Linked DNA regions of Macaca fascicularis. The protein of the gene in region 2 interacts with the protein of the main gene of each other region in a biochemical or structural test. Links are inferred from orthologs where the notes say so. Each region holds a gene or a part of one and is shown on either strand. Other genes may lie near its edges.

Region 1 (3,917 bases), on a different chromosome or scaffold from region 2:
TTTTTTGTCTTCAACACACTGTCTCACTAAAGTACAATATAAATAGCCAGATAACTTGAACTGGCTTGATTCTGTAAGGGCAAATATGAGCTGAGAAGAGTAGATGAGGGATGCCTGGGGAGGAAAAAGGCAACCCTAAGAAAGGCTGGGTCCCTTGTAGTCCACTGATCAGCATGAAGACCCAGAGAACCAAAGAGCCTGCAGTATAGCTCATTATATTCCAGATAACTTGACTCCTGAGTGCAGTCTAGGTTTTTTTTGTTTTGTTTTGTTGTTTTAAAAAAAAAAAAAAAAAAACACCTGAGATTCTACTGGCCTTCTCCTTAGTGCCTACGTCTTTCCTTCCAGGAGGGCTTCCTTGGAAACTCATTGCTGCAATGCTCAGAGGGAGCTCTTTTCAACTTCTTCTTTGGTTGGTATTTCACGAACATCCTCTCTATTACCCTCAATGCATCACCCAATCTCTCTCTCATTGGTGTTTTGATGATTTTTGTCTCCTCCACCTAGCATGTAAGGTCCACAACAGCAGGGATTTTGTCTACTTTTTCACCACCCCAAGATCCAGTCTAGGATTGGCAATAATAGGTGAGCAAGAAATACGTGTTACAGAAAGGTACATAATGAAAGTCATCTACCTGGATATATCAAAATGTGTTTTCATAGAATACTTTCATTCTCAACGTGATGTTGGCTATTTTCTCCAAAACAAGAAATTATAGAGAATTATTTAAAATACAGTTTAGAATCATCACTGTATATAAATCCAGAGCTTATGCTGAAACTCCCTTTTTAAATTCTGCAAAGTCTCTTTCTCTTCCTTCTGCCCTTCACTCTCTTTCTCAGTAAATCCGTCATCACATCACCTCTCTATTCAAGGATCTCAAAATGGGCAAGACTGTCTTATTTATTGCTGAACTGCATTTTCTTTGTCTTTTTTTTTTTTCCCCTGACACAAAGAATTTAATCTGCGTCTGAATTTATTGTTTAGATTCTATTCCATTTACAAAAACATTCAGTCCAATTAGACTGGAACAGAAAGAAGAAAAGTGTGAAGCCCATGGTAAAAAAGATGTATGTTTACATCCTTGCCTACAGCATTTAATAATTGGCATGAGCTTTCAAGGAAGCTGTGGTTCATACTCCAAGTTCCATTTGCGCTTCCAGCTGGACAAAATATAGACACAGACGCACTCAGCTAAGTAATTGGATTCACTACCTGGAATATTTAAATTGTTTTCAGACACTGGAAAATGGCTTAAGAAGATTAAAGAAAAATACCCTAGAGAATAACAGGCTATAATTTACTAGGTGGAAAATCTTTTCGGCAAGAAGAACGCCTCATTCTCCTATAATTCCTTCTGATTAAGAGATGTATTAGTCATTTGGACTTAAATTTCCTTAGAACCTGGCAACTCGGATTTATTTCGGTAGGTTTTTCTTATCGAACCTTTTGAATGACACCCAGGACATAAAATTGATGCCATAATGCTCTCCATCAGAAGATTCGCATGTTTTCAGCTGGATGACTAATTTATGTGTTTTGAAGACAACTGGGGTAAAGGGGAAGGGGAAGTCATTTGAAGTCCTGGGGTCTGGGCTGCACGTAAAGCATTAGAGACCCTGGCGCTGGGCTAGGCTCTGCCCTACCTGGCAAATGGTGCAGGTAAGTCCTGGGGCAACCCCTCAACGTGTCTATTTCAGGCAGAAGACTCCAATCAGCTCAGTTCTCAAAAGTCAGCCCTCTCCACTTGCCTGCAGGCCCGTGAGTCCTCCAGGACCCCTCAAGGGCCCCCATTCTGTTCACGCCCTCCCCAGATGTGTCCCCGCAGCCCTTTTCAGGGACCCTCACTCCGGAGCCAGGCGCTGAAGTTTGGCATCAACGACCACCTGTTGGCTGGACCGTTGTGTCCTCCGCCGCGTGGGCTCCCACAAAAGCGCTAAGAGGGTTCGCAATCACTAAGTGTTGTGGACTTCAGGCCCTTCCTTCTTGAAATCGGGCAAAAGAGGTAATAGGGGGTGCGTCCGCAGGCAGAGAGGGACGCGACTTGTTCACACCAGGCGCTTTCCAGTTGGTCTCAACTTCACACTCCCTACTTCGCGAACTTTCAGGACCTGTCACCAGGCAAAGCTTGCCCCTCCCTCTCCACTGGCCCAAAAGATTTAAGACCCTCAGGGGGCGCTTGCCAGACCCAGAAAGGATGGCAACTACTAAAGCCCGATAAAACAGGAGCGCGCGCAAAGCTTCTGCCCTTGGACATCCGCTTTGGCAGATGCCAACCTGTGCGCCCGAGGCGGCCCCTGCCCGCTCCCAGTGCGCCCATTGCATAACGCGCCCCTCGCCCCACCCCCACGACGCCCGCCCTGCCCGGTGCCCGAGCCAGCGCCCCGACTCGGGCCGCCCCAATACTTACATCATCCCACTTGACGAATTTGATGCCCTTCTTGAGGCTGTCGGACACGCACACGGGCTTGAGTTGCAAGGCGTGCACTCCGGGTTGAGCCCCGGCCATCTGGGCTCATCTGGGCTCCGGGCGGCCCGGGCGAGCGCGGCAGGGACTGGGAACCGCGCGCGGGGCGCGGGGCGCGGGCTCCTTTCTCTGCTCCTGAGGCGCTCGACTCTTCTCCCCCGCCGGCCTCCCCGGCCTCCCGGCCTCCGCACCTCCCTCCGGCGCCGCTCAGCAGGCAGAGCGCGCGGGGGCGCAGCGCCGGGCCATGCCCCAGGCGGGACGCGAGGTCGGGAACCCGCGGTGGATGAGGAGCCTCGGAAGGCGAAGAGAAGCCGAGCCGGGCAGCCGAGGCTGCCAGTCGCGGCGGATTCTGCTCCTCCGCCGCCGCCGCCTCAAAGCGCACCATTCAGCACATCCTCTATACACAGAGGGAGAGAGAGAGTGACACACGCCCGGCGCCCCCGCTCCGCGCTCTTTTCCCTCCTCCTTCCTCCTCCCCCCACCCCCTTCCCCGCCACCCTCGCTCGCTGGGTCCTTCCTTCCCCCCGCGGCTCCCAGCCCAACTTTGCACGCTGGGTCAGGCGCCAGGAAGCGGGGATGCAGCGGCACCTCCTGGCTCCTGAGCCCCATTGCAGCCAACGCCTGCCTCCCGCATTCGCTCTGAGCATGCCTGGTGCCCTGGTTGCAGGGGTGTTAGGGGTCCCCAGGAGCCTTACGCTCTTTGGGGTTTTCTTGGGAACTTGGGCTCGAGTTCCGGAGCGTCTTTGGATCCCAACCGGGTGGGAAAAGGGACCCATTCGGAGGAACCGGAGGCAACCCGCAGCTTTCAACTGTAGCTGGAGCACTCCAGCGCCGGCCACAAACCAGCTTTTTTGAGAAAAGAATTATCATTTATCAGCAGAGACGAGCGCAGCTGAGAGGCTCTTTGAGGAAACCTCGCCACGGCTGAGAGTTTGCAGCGCGCTGATCTTGAAACCTGGGCAAACGGTTACTTTGCGCTTTTGAGATAGAAAGACCACCCTAAAGAAAGCAAAGGTTTTATTTTCCAAGGAAGAAAGAGGATCCCCTCTCCCGCGCCTCTCCTTGAGTATGTAGGATGTGAAGCGGGTCGGGGAGAGTCTTACTAATAGAAACTTGCTCATTTAGGAACGTAGGTCCAGGAATGTTTGTCTTCACTCCTTCCACAAACATTTCTCAATTCAAGCACGGGAGGGAGGGAAGAAGGGAAAGAGGGGAACCAGAATGGATAAAATTTTAAAGACTGATAATACCAAATGCTTGAAAGGATGTGGAGCAACTGGAACTCTCGTTCATTGCTGGAGGGAATATAAAATAGTAAAGCCACTTTGGAGAACAGTTTCTAATAAAGTAAGATATTTACTTATCATACAACCTAGAAATTCCACTCCTAGGTATTTGTGCAAGAGAAATTAAAATGCAAGTCCACAGGGATTTGTAAAGTGATGTGAA
Region 2 (3,640 bases):
ACCCTGTCAAAAAAAAAAAAAAATAGTCCTTGGATACATAAGGTTTTTAATTTTGATGAAGTCCAATTTATTTTTTCTTTTGTGAAAAATATGACCTGGCTGTGGTGTCATATCTAAGAATCCATTGCAAAATTACGTTTTTAGTTTATCTTGCTAGATATATCACAATTCTTTTTCAAAGCATCTAGGACAATTCCTGGCACATAAGAGACTCCTTCCTAAATCAATGTGAGAAAATACAGGCCGAGTGCAGTGGCTGACACCTGTAATCCCAGCACTTTGGGAGGCCAAGGCGGGTGCATCACCTGAGATTAGGAGTTTGAGAACAGCCTGGCCAACATGGCAAAACCTTGTCTCTACTAAAAATACAAAAATTTAGCTAAGCATGATGGCAGGCACCTGTAATCCCAGCTGCTCAGCAGACTGAGGCAAGAGAATCGCTTGAACCTGGGAGGCAGAGGTTGCAGTGAGCCGAGATCTCATCGCTGCACTCTTGCCTGGGCAACATGGTGAGACTGTATCTCAAAAAAAGATAAACCAATTGTTTTATCATCACAAATGAACTGAATGCTACACAAATGTAGTGTGCTCATAAATACCAGAAATCTATGGAAGTGAGACTACCGAGGCCCACTGTAGACAGAGCTGACCTTACAAACAGGTGTTTTATTCTAAGAGGGATTGTCAGTCTGGAAGATGTAAAATGATCCATAATGTTGAGTCGTTTGGAGGACAGATTGACAGGAGAGCCCAAGGAGGCTGTGTCTTTGTGCACACTTATTAAATAGCTGAAACAAGCATAATTAACTCAGTTGAACAGAAGTAAGCTATCACTCCCCTGATGAAGAGCCTACAGTGGCTCCCAGTCACTCAGGGAATCAGAGTGAAGGCCAAGCTAAGAAATAGACTTAACCTTGGCCTTCAAGTCATCTGTCTGCTTTCACCTATACACAGTTTGTGAATGGGTGGGTACGTGGGTGGGTGGGTGGATGGTCAGACATAGTAGTGTTAGGGAAAATGATTATAACAGATCAAATCTGCAGTGCAGATGTAGGCTTCATGAGCAATGACACAGTATTTATTGAACGAATGATAATTGAGTACATTAGCAGATTAGGTAACAGTGTCCCTCTTGTCTCTTGGCCAAAAGGACCCCAGAGAGATGCCCAGGCAGCCCGAGAATTCATTCTGAAGATGTTCGTGGACCTGAACCCAGACAGTGACAAAATTATCTACTCCCACTTCACATGCGCGACAGACACCGAGAACATCCGCTTTGTCTTTGCTGCCGTCAAGGACACCATCCTCCAGTTGAACCTGAAGGAGTACAATCTGGTCTAATTGTGCCTCCTAGACACCCGCCCTGCCCTTCCCTGGTGGGCTATTGAAGATACACAAGAGGGACTGTATTTCTGTGGAAAACAATTTGCATAATACTAATTTATTGCCGTCCTGGACTCTGTGTGAGCGTGTCCACAGAGTTTGTAGTAAATATTATGATTTTATTTAAACTATTCAGAGGAAAAACAGAGGATGCTGAAGTACAGTCCCAGCACATTTCCTCTCTATCTTTTTTTTAGGCAAAACCTTGTGACTCAATGTATTTTAAATTCTCAGTCATGCACTCACAAAGATAAGACTTGTTTCTTTTCTCTCTTTCTCTCTTTTTCTTTTCTATGGAGCAAAACAAAGCTGATTTCCTTTTTTTTTCCCCCCCTAATTTATACTTCCCTCCTGATTTTTTTCCCAAGATACAATGACCTTTATCCTAGTTCCATTCTTGGTCAAGTTTTTCTCTCAAATGATACAGTCAGGACACATCGTTCGATTTAAGCCATCATCAGCTTAATTTAAGTTTGTAGTTTTTGCTGAAGGATTACATGTATTAATACTATGGTTTTAAATGTGTTGCTCTGTATACATACATAGTTTCTTTTTTAATAGAATGTACTGTCTTGTCTCACTTTGGACTGGGACAATGGATGCCCGTCTAACAGTAAGTGTCATTTCTTTTAGATGTTTACCTTCAGCCATAGCTTGATTGCTCAGAGAAATGTGCAGAAGGCAGGATCAAAGACACACAGGAGTCCTTTCTTTTGAAATGCTACGTGCCATTGTCTTTCCTCCCTTCTTTGCTTCTTTTTCTTTTTTTCACCCTCTCTTTCAATTGCAGATGCCAAAAAAGATGCCAACAGACACTACATTACCCTAATGGCTGCTACCCAGAACCTTTTTATAGGTTGTTCTTAATTTTTTTGTTGTTGTTGTTTAAGCTTTTCCTTCCTTTTTTTTCTTAGTGTTTGGGGGCCACAATTTTAAAATGACTTTTATTATGGGAATGTGTTGCCAAAGCTGGCTTTTTTTCAAATAAAATGAATAAGAACTCAAAAAATAAAAGCTGGTATCTTAAAATGTAAGAGAGTAAGACTGTGAAGCCTAAAATGACTGGCTGAGAATGAACCAGAAATGCCAATTGCCAAACAGTTGGTAACTGTAAATTTGATTCTCACGGTCCATTCTTTTATTTGTCCTTAAGATGACATTGTTAGTGTTCACGTCCCATGTTCAGTGTCCAAACCGGCAATGTAAAAAGTATCCTGTGTGGTTTAACAGGAAATCTGTTTATGTCTCTTTATTTGAAACCAGTTTTACTCTCAATGGTTCTTTAAGTTCAATTAAGTCTGCCAGGAACATTGGTTGATAGTATTATTCTGACACCTTTAATTTCCAAAATCTGAAGTTCCTGCTGGTTAACCACCTTCAAGATCTTCTTGAACTGGTAACTGATTAGGTTGAACTTACAGAAGATTTGTGGACTTAACTCAAAAGTAACCTCTCAGTGTTCTATAGAACATGTATTTGTGTAACTGAACCTACTAGGAGAAATGTTTGGAATTCTATATGTGCAATTTTTCAGCAAATGCAAAAAAATACAGCACACGTATTGACGAGCTTCTGTCAAGCAGCTTGAGTTGAAATTTAAGAAAATAAATCACGATTGTTTAAAGCTGCTGGGACGTTAGAATTAGGCCATGAGACTGGTCTCATTTTAACTATAGTGGTATTTGGCACTAGTCTAAACTTCCATATAAATCACTCTTTTGGAACAACAAAGGGGGAGGGAGAAAACTAACGGCCTGTTAGATGAGTACCAAAGCCACCAAACAGTAATGAAATATTCTCATTCTTGATTCTCCCAGCCTCAAACAACACAGGTTACTTTTTTTCCCTTGCTCAGAAAGCACCTGTAATGTAACAAGCAGACTGCCTGTAGGTATAGTGCAATTACAAATGCTCTAATCATTGTACATACATCTCTCTTGATATTGCAGCATCCATACTGGCTTTGTAATCATTAATTTTTTGGCAGATTGAATGTGCTGTATTGATATGTATCTATGTAATTGTATTGTATGTCTATAGCTAATTCACATTTTGAATAATGTTATTTTATTTACTTTTTTAAGAGAGGAGAATGTAAATTTGTCAGTTTATTTCTGACTAGGGATATTTTCTTTCCATTTAGAAAAGAAGAAAAAAAAAAACCTTACTGTCGTACAGAGCGGTACTAGCGTCGTGCTGTATAAAATCATTTGCACATTCCTGAGTAGAGGTATACTGATTATAAGACCCAAAGGTA

What was found.
Region 1: the proteins of GNAQ (region 2) and PLCB1 form a complex in vitro, tested with the Homo sapiens proteins (2 studies listed by BioGRID, with this or other methods). The link is inferred for Macaca fascicularis from reciprocal best matches to the Homo sapiens genes GNAQ and PLCB1.

Annotation. Positions count from the first base shown.
Region 1 is NC_088384.1:79,171,754-79,175,670, forward strand, and holds the start of PLCB1 (1-phosphatidylinositol 4,5-bisphosphate phosphodiesterase beta-1), read right to left. Parts: upstream 2,898-3,917; 5' UTR 2,511-2,897; coding exon 2,412-2,510; intron 1-2,411.
Region 2 is NC_088389.1:108,365,223-108,368,862, reverse strand, and holds part of GNAQ (guanine nucleotide-binding protein G(q) subunit alpha), read left to right. Parts: intron 1-1,150; coding exon 1,151-1,341; 3' UTR 1,342-3,640.